Callithrix jacchus: one gene and its partner. The protein of the gene in region 2 interacts with the protein of the main gene of each other region in a pairwise test. Links are inferred from orthologs where the notes say so. Each region holds a gene or a part of one and is shown on either strand. Other genes may lie near its edges.

The links. The genes of interacting proteins can lie anywhere in the genome.
Region 1: the proteins of EGFR (region 2) and ANXA1 interact in binary tests that used the Homo sapiens proteins (3 or more experiments, as listed by UniProt). The link is inferred for Callithrix jacchus from reciprocal best matches to the Homo sapiens genes EGFR and ANXA1.

The regions. Positions count from the first base shown.
Region 1 is NC_133502.1:91,671,315-91,676,049, forward strand, and holds part of ANXA1 (annexin A1), read right to left. Parts: intron 3,068-4,735; coding exon 2,988-3,067; intron 2,375-2,987; coding exon 2,318-2,374; intron 744-2,317; coding exon 650-743; intron 1-649. UniProt on the Homo sapiens protein: Plays important roles in the innate immune response as effector of glucocorticoid-mediated responses and regulator of the inflammatory process. Has anti-inflammatory activity.
Region 2 is NC_133512.1:22,667,644-22,672,378, reverse strand, and holds part of EGFR (epidermal growth factor receptor), read right to left. Parts: intron 3,890-4,735; coding exon 3,528-3,889; 3' UTR 1-3,527. UniProt on the Homo sapiens protein: Receptor tyrosine kinase binding ligands of the EGF family and activating several signaling cascades to convert extracellular cues into appropriate cellular responses.

The DNA of each region.
Region 1 (4,735 bases), on a different chromosome or scaffold from region 2:
GTTGACAGTTATTAGAAATGGCATGTGATTGACAACCATAGTACTCCCTACAGCAGTTCTAAGAGCCACAGCAAATGGATCTTTCCTCATATAAAGACCTAGGCACTGAATTTCTCTTACATTTAACAGTAGAAATCAGTATGCTATTATAAGATGATAAACTTTAGATAATCATCATTACTTTTCCATTGCTTTGGCTTCTGAGAGGCTGAGCTAAATCTTGTGCTCAAAGGCTAGACCTATTTCTGATTTTTGTCTTGTTGTTTTTCCAAAGCACCTACATATTTTTTTCTTCATTTAACTCTGAGGGTTTTTTGTTTTGTTTTTCTTCATTCTAATTTCATTTCTTCTGTTATGCATGTCTTTTTTCCACATATATTCCAAAGCTTTTAGGGAATTAAAAGCAGTGAAAATAATGAAATGATATTCCACATGCCCAAGTCACAAAATGGTATTAAATATTATAAAATAGTGACTGTATAAAATTGGACAATGGGCAAATAACAATAATGGATCAGGAATACTATAGCCATTTGATACAGGAGAGACATTGCTAAAGTCTTCTGTTTTTACTTTCTCTTATTTTTCCTCAAAAAAGAAAATTACATCTTCCATAAACAGATTCCAGAGAAAAAAATTTTCTTGTTACCTCTGCGAAGATGTGGATAGCTTCTGGTGGTAAGAATAGTATTGAACACGTTTACATCTGTCCCCTTTCTCCTTTCTCCTGCTTCATACAAGGCCTGTCAAGAAACACAAAAGTAAATACTTCACTATCTGCTGAAGTAATATCTGCACAAGAATATTAGACCTTGTCAAAGATTAGGCAGTTGCTTTGTGCTCAATACAATCAGAGTAGTCAACAATAAGATTTCAAGTTCTTTAAAGATGGGGACCTTATTTTGCTTGTCAAATATCTTCCACAGTTTCTCTCAAGGTATCTTGTAAACACTAGAGACTGAATATATGTTTGCAGAATAAATGTTTGCTGAACTAAATGGCTTTAAGATTATGCTCTATATCAAGAGAACTCCAAGGGGATCTCTAAAAGGATTTCTTACTCTATGTTGAAGTAATTATCAACAAATGTTACTTATAAATCAATAATTCAACCATAACCTGGACCTTGCATTTTGATGTTAGAATTTCTGGATTCAAATTCCGACTCTGCAATTTATCATCTTAGACAAATAATTGAACCTTACTAAAGTATAGATTTTTTTTCTTTTATATATGGAAAACGTAATACCTGCCCTATTATCATAAGCAGTGTCTATTAACTTTGGAATGTTAATTACCATCATTCTCTTGGGTCACATTAATCCATGTAGCCTTCATACATATGTAGTAAGAACCCTGATAGTCTTAAAATGGAAAGTAAATTCAGAAGTGTCAAAAGCAAATAAGAATTTTTTATTATGGGCAATTATTCAATGCTAATTCTTGTTCTTTAATATGTTTGCACAATTTCTATTAAAATGATAAAACCTCCAATGTACATAAAAGTTATTTTGCACTTGTCAAGCAAACTGATCTGAAATGTATGCATTTATTCAACAAAAAGTTAGTGAGTACCTATTATGTGCATGATAATGTACTGGTATAGCAGAAGTGGATGAAGATACGCAAAAAATATGTTCTTAGTGAATCATCGTAATGAATTATCTAGAGAATACTGTTCCATGAGAATGCATAATGCAAATTATAGTTGCATGTTTGTTTGTTTAAAGAGGAAATTCCAGGCCTTAAGATGGTATGATTTTTCTTATGTTGCGAGTGGATTGGTATATAAATAACCAGCAATGTCACTGAAACTATATAAAACAATATGTCAGAAAGTCTATATTATTATAATTTATCCTATATTATTAATTTAATATCATTACAATGATATTTTAGCATTATAAATTGACATCTATAAACCATTCCAATGTTTTCTGTTAAAAATAATATTAAATGTGTTTACTCTTTCCATTACACATAATAAAAAAATTACTTCTCCCCTTCTTATACCTAGTACAATAAGAGTTCAGAGGTTTTTTTTCAACAAACAATTCTTGGGAATGACAAATCAAATTTGTATTGTTCTTTTTCAGTTCTCTCTGGTTTGATGAATAATGAGAGATATTGAAAACTTAAAGACTACATTTTTTTTCTCTCTTGGGCTACAGAAAGGCATGCCTCATTCAGGAAATGAACATTAACAAGCCATTGGTCTCTCAGAAGATCTTAGATTTACTTTCACAGGGCATCATGGGGTAGCACAACCTAAGGTAGGAAGATGGACTGCAGCAGTATTTTGTAAGCACTTGCTTACCCTGGCATCGGTATCAGCCAAGTCTTCATTCACACCAAGGTCCTCAGATCGGTCACCCTGAAAGAAATCCCATTCTATTGTAAACTCTTCTCTAGCATGTACTTGCATGATTTACTTAATTCTCTTAAACTCAGATAAATAATATTCTTTGAGAAAAACATATTCTATTACTCATTTCTAGAAAGAGCTCAGATCCAAGATTTTACTTGCAATGGTTTTAGATGTTCTTCCCCTCCAAACCCCATGTTAAAATTTGATTCCAGTGTTAAAGGCAGGGCCTAAGGAGAGATATTTGGGTCCTGGGGCTGATCTCTCACGAAGAGAAAAATGCCATCTCTGGGGGATAAGTTCTTGTTCATGAGACCACCAGAGCTGATTGTTAAAGAACCTGGCACCTCCCCATTCTCTCTCTTGCTTGCTTTTTTGCCATGTGGTCTCTGCATACACCAGCTCCCTTTCCTCTTCTGTTAGGAGTGGAATCAGCCTGAGGCTCTCACCAGACACAGCTGCCCAGTCTTGAACTTTTTAGCCATCAGAATCATGAGCCAAGTAAACCATTTTTTTTAAAAAAATTATCCAGTCTCAGACTTTTCTTTATAGCAACACAAAATGGACTACAAAATTACTCTTTATATAACAAGAGGCATTACCTACAGGATCTGAGTTGTACCTTAGCAAGAGAAAGCAAAGCATTCCGAAAATCTCCAGATGTGTCTGCGGTTATGTCTTTGGCCAGATCTCTCTTCAGTTCTGAGAAAAAAGGAAAATAGATTTTACAGTAAACCAGTGATGAATAATCATAATAATATCTGACATCTCTAAATTGGTTGAAAATTCACCATGCCACAATGTTCAATGATTTGTGGAACACTGTGGCAAAATATCATCATTTTTAAATAAGAGAAAAATTACAGCAGGTTAATTTTTGGATCATTTAATTTATTTCATATGAAGCAACGGGAGAAATTTATGTAACACTGTGATTGAAAACTCAGTCATAAAGCTTTTGTTAAGAATAAATTGTATAGGTATGCATTAGCAATTAATTTTGAAATATAACATAGCATAATTTAAGCAGTAGAATAAGTAATTGTTTAAAAGAACAAAAATGGAGGTACTTACTTGAATGCAATTTATTTAGTTTAAAAACTATAAATGTCTTATATAAGTAATGTAGTTTGATGATTTGTGTGTGTAAACACTTCCACTTAACTATGTAAAATAATACTGCGATAGGAAAAGTCAATTGAATTTATAATTGACTAGTGCTATGGTTTTGATATTGTTTGGCCCTGCCAAGTGTCATATTGCAATTTATCCCCATTGTTGAAGGTGGGGACTGACGGTAGGTGTTTGGATAATGGGGGAAGATCCCTCATGAATGGCTTGGTGTGAGTGAGTTCTCTTTCTTAGTTTCTTTAAGAACTGGCTGTTCTTAAAGAAAAGAGCCTGGCATCTCCTTTTCTCTCCCTCTCTCTCTGCACACATCTGCTTCTGTCTGCTTTCTGCCATGAGTAGAAGCAGTATGAGGACCTCATCAGAAGCAGATGCTGGTCCCATACTTCTTATACGGTATTTCCTTTCTTTATAAATTGCTTGGTCTCAGTATTTCTTTATAGCAACATAAAGGGACTAAAACAACTTGAAACTGGGCAATTTAATAAGCTATCAATGGCTTATATCTTGGCATAATGAAAAAATATAAACATTTATTTTTATAAACTGTGTTTTATCAAACAAAAAATAATTGATTATTATCATTGATACAATAAGAAAATGAGGTTTAAAAGCTTCCTTATTTTTATTTTTTTATTAAATTTCATTAAAAACGATATGCAAAAGCTATTGTATTCTCCATGCTTGGTATGAGAATCAAGCATAAAGTTCTATGTGCCACATACTGGGTTGGGAAAGCAAAAAAGCCAGCAGCTCAGGGAAATGAGAAAAGGAAAATGGTAACAGACTTGCAATTATGCTCTTTTCAGTGTTGAGCATGTCATTTAAATGAGATGCTTCACTGAAGAGATAAAATAAGCTAAACTAGTCTTTTATTCTCATGAATTTAACAAATGATAAAGAGTGAGTTGCTTATGTTCACAACAATAAAGTTAAGGTTTCCAACAGAGAATTATAAGCACCCAATTCTTTACTTTTTCAAGAACAAATGAAGAACATTTTGTTAAAAGATTTTTTTTTGTTATACTTTTTTCAAAATAAATGGCATTGCGACATTTTTATTAAAAGTATTCCAGAAAAACAGAAAAATATTTTTCAGAAAAAAATTTAAATTCAATGCTCTGAATTGAAGTTTCCGTTATAATCGTATGTGGTCATTTATCCTAGAGGATCATTTTCTATTAAAACACAAGCTTGATGCGGATTGGTACACCATCTCCCTTGTCAACAACCTAGCAACGT
Region 2 (4,735 bases):
GCGCCCCTGAGATTTGGGTTAAATTGGTCTGCAGAGACTCCAGGCCCCCTCTTCTGAAGCTCTGCAGGTGATTCTCTTGTGCTTGAGGGGAGGTGCCGAGTCCCCATCACCCACCAGCCTGAAGCTACACAGGTGTAATCAGAGGCCTAGTGAGAGTGGTACTGGCTGGAAGGACCTCCAGCGAGCGGCAAGCAGACCCCCACCAGGCCCTTCCCTTAGGCCAGTGGTTCTGGAAACTTTGATGAAGGTTGCAATAATCAGGGGGTGCTCTGACAAGGCCCTAGGGCCGGGCTGCACCTGAGAAAATCAAGCCACAATACTTTTGGTTGGGACCCGGAGATTGCCAACGGCAGCCACGCTGGAGAACCAGTGCCTTTTGCTCTAAGCAATCCACAGTCCCCTTATGTCTGCTGTTGTGAGGCGGTGGGGGGGCGGGGGTGGTAAATCACAAAATCAAGAACTTTCAGTAAACACCTAAGCTTGGTTTTCGTCAGCTGGAGTATAGTAGGATGCGTCCACAGTGCTCCTCCTTACAACCTAGACTCACAGAGAATAGAGTTTAGAAGACTCATCCCTTCTTTGATCCCTCATGAGGTGACCGGCAGGGTGTAATTACAGTAGCTCCTTGGAGATGATGCAAGAAGACACACAAAGTGAATGGGAGCTCCCAGCTCCTTACCTTCCCGTGGCCTCTGTTTCCAAAGGTCACATCTGAAGGTGAAGTCCTTGCAAAGGTCTTCCAGGAACTGACTGAGGAAGAAACAGCTGACAGGTTCTCTGTAGTGTGTTAAGGCCAGGCTAGCAATCCGGAAGACCTTTAGGGATGGAGTCCAAGCTTTGAGAACTGACCTATCAGGGCTGTTAGGTGAAAATCATGGGACTTTGGGCAGCTCCTTTCCTGACCTGCGCACCATGGTGGCCAGATCCTTGGAGAGGCTCGTGGCTTTGCAGCTTCTGCCAAGCAGACCACTGTGCCTCCCTGGACAGATGAAGTGAGAACTATTTTGGGAAGTACAATCTTAAAATTAATAGAATTTAGCAACTAAACTTTACACTGGAAAATTAAAATATGAATGAGAAGAAAGCTAGAATAGCGTTTGTTCTTTTATTATGTTAGTGTTTCAAACTACAAAAATACTAGGATTTACTGCAACAATGTGACTCACAACTGACGTGCCTCACTGATCTTCCGCTTCTTGACACACAAGTGATAGCAGAATGTGGGTCCTTCTGTTTCTCAGTTCTGGCTGAAATATTTCTGTATGTCCTGAGGTGAATGGATAATGAAAGTGGTTTACTGACAATGATATAAAATCTCAGAGTCTTAGAAATGTGGCTTAGTCTCCTCACTAAGCACGTGCAGAGATGAGAGCTCAAAATCCCCCAGCAGGATACAACATTCAAGGAACTTGTGGGATGCTCCAAGGTCATCCCGTAGCTTAGAGGGAGAGGGTTGTTGGGACAACTGACCTCAGCCTTACATGGACTCCAGCAGTGGAGGCCTCTGACAGCTGTTTCCTTGGTCGAGGTCCCCCCCTGCTGCAACTGAACTTCCCACCTCTCCTGTGGCTGAGAACTGGTCATCCTCCTGTGAGGCCTTCCTGATGAACCTTCCAGGTCTCTTCAGGTAGGACCCAATGTCCCTGCTCTGTGCTCGCAGTGTCTGGCTGACGGGCCCTGTCTGGCATTTGTCATGTTGTTTTAAGGTTAGTATCTATGAGTCCATTTCCTTTGCTAAATTGTGAATTTCTCAGAATCGGGGACTATGTTTTATTTATGTTTGTATCTTTCATACCCATACCAGGCTGGTATAGGCACTTAGGGGTATTTGAGAGCATAATGGAGTGGAAATGAATGTAATTTTATTTTCATCGAGACAAAAATCAAATATTCTCTTAACAAAAGTATAGGAGCCCTGACTGATCTGGGAGTCAAAAAATACTTTAAAAGCAAAAGGAACATTTTGTACGTGTGTGTGACTGAACATAACTGTAGGCTGAAAATATTTTCAGAACCATTTCTTCCTTGATAAATTGGATCTGGTGGATATTGCCTAGAAGAGTTTAAAAGGCTCCTTTCAAAGCACTTCCATTAGCCAGTCAGGTTACAAGGCACACACAGATTAGGAAAGCTGGGATCCTAACTAGCCGAATCTTCCAATTGTAGAGAAATTATTTTAGAAAGGAACTTTCTTCTTGTAAAACATCTACAAATGTTGTGAAAGCATTATCAGTTTCAAACCCTGGTTTCCTATTTACCCCCTGAATTCTACACTACTCCTAATGCTACTCATTGCACCTGTAAAACACCCTGTTGCGGCCAGAGCTGTAAGTGCTTGAATAGCTGCCTCAGGGCCGAGACACTTTTTGTTTGACAAAGGGCAAGGATGGGGTCTGGGGAGCAGAAGGAACATCTTTGAGTAAAAAGCTTTTAAAGTGAAGTAAAAGGAGAAAATGATCTTCCATGAGTAACCTAAACTCATTGTGGGGGTTGGGGGCGATGGCTACAGGAGATTTCAGAGCAGCTTCATTTTTGCAGTTTCCTGATCTATGCCCCAAAGGACCTGATGCATTTCATCTGAGCCTCAAATTAGGAGATGTATTTCTGTGAGAACAAAAGCGGCGCCATCCTTAGGTATTCTGCATTCTCAGATGTGGGCTACTGGTCTGAACCCTGATGAATCCAACGTGGGCTGGAATCCGAGTGATTATGGGATGTGTCATCCTCTCTTGCTGACTTTGTGACAGCAAGACAGGGGCAGCATACTGAGTTTCAAAATGACGGAATGGAAGACAGACGAGTCAGTGTAACACTCACGACCGGAAAACACTGGTCAACCAGCGGGGAGTGAGTACCGTGGAGACATATTTATAAAAGTAAGTCTAATGAAGAATTCTATCCCCTCTGTTTCTTCTTTGCCCAGGAAGGGACAGAGTGGCTTATCCTATTGTACCTGCCATGACTCGATACAGTACCGATGTGGCCTGCTGGGGCCATGAAGGGATTCTTGGACCTTTAGTGTTGTGGGGCGGAAGCCGTGAGCGGAACCGCTGGAATCAAATCGCTGCTGGAGACTTGAGGCCTGTGTGGCTTGCTCACAGTTGGGCCTGGATGAACTCAGGGCAGCAAGTGCTACCAGCAAGCTTCTTCCCTGTTGGAAGAGCTTACTGCAGTAAATATCAATAGTGACAATTAAAAACCCCAAGATCCCAATCAAGAAAAATCCTGACACATACTTATTTTTTTTTTCAAATATACCTCCTTGAAAGATAAACTTCTGCTCAGAACTTCCTGCTGGATGCCTTTCTGTAAAAGCTTCACAGTTCGAAAACAAAGGAATGTATCTGCCACTTGCCAAGTGTGCCCCAAGTGGAGGCACTTCCTGACTGATCAGTGTCAACGCTGGGGAAGCCAGTCTGCGGGTCTGACAGCTAACGCGGGCATAGCGGTTGGGATGGAGGACCTGCTGTGCTTGGTCCTGGTGCTGAAAGAGTCTGGATTTTTAAGGTTGGTGCTATTCTCTGTGGTCATGCTCCAATAAATTCACTGCTTTGTGGTGCGACCCTTAGGTATTCTGCATTTTCAGCTGTGGGGCCCTTAAATATACCGTTGGGCTTGGCTTCCTTGGGAAGGAAGTCCTGCTGGTAGTCAGGGTTATCCAGGCTGATTTGGTGGATGGCTTTCTGGATCCAGTGGTCAGGGCTGTCCACTGCGCTGCTGACCCAGGTGGGCTGCACAGTGTTGAGATACTCGGGGTTGCCCACTGCGGTGCTGTGGGGGTCCTGGTAGTGTGGGTCTCTGCTGGGCGCGAGGTTCAGGGGCTGATTGTGGTAGACAGGATTCTGCACAGAGCCAGCAGGCCTTTTGGGAACAGACTGGTTTATGTATTCTGAAAGTGAAAAGAAATCAGAGGTGAAGTAATCAGCAAAGCACCATCCCATGCAGGAGCCCCAGGTTCCCAACCCTGTGAATGTCTTCAACAAGGTGATTTACTACAGGGAGCAGGAGCCTTGGGAGGACCCTCCTGCTGCTGCTAGAAAGGAAAGTGGGTTCTTTCCTGTACTTCTCAAGGTAATGGACATCTGTCTTTTGTAAATTTAAGGTTATCAGAGAATAGCCTGCTTGAGGAGTGTGTGTATGTATATGTCTGTACATGTATGTGTGGTGTGTATGCGTGTGGTGTGTGTGTATGGTATGTGTGTCTGATGTGTGGTATGTGTATGTGCAGTGTGTGTATGTGTGCCTGTGTATGTGCGTGGTGTGTGTGTACGTGTGTGGTGTATGTGTATGTGTATGTGTATGTATATGTATAGTGTATGTGTTGGTGTGTATGTATGTGGCGTAGTTGTATATGTGTATGTATGTATGTGTGTGGTGTGTGTGTACATGTGTGTATGTGTGGTATACGGTGTGTGTGTGCATATATGTGGTGTGTATATGTGTATGTGTGTGGTGTGTGTGTATGTGGTATGTGTCTGGTGTACGCGTGTGGTATATGTGTGGGTTTGTGTGGGGTGTGTGTGGTGTACATGTGGTGTGTATGTGTGTGTGATATGTATGTACATGTGTGTGTGGTGTGTATGTGTGTGGTGTGTGTGTACATGTGTATGTGTGGTGTGGGTACATATGTGTATGTGGTGTGTGTGGTGCAATGTGCATATGTATGTGTGGTGTGTGTACATGTATGTGTGGTGTGTGTGTATGTGGGTGTAGGGTGTGTGTATGTGTGTGTATA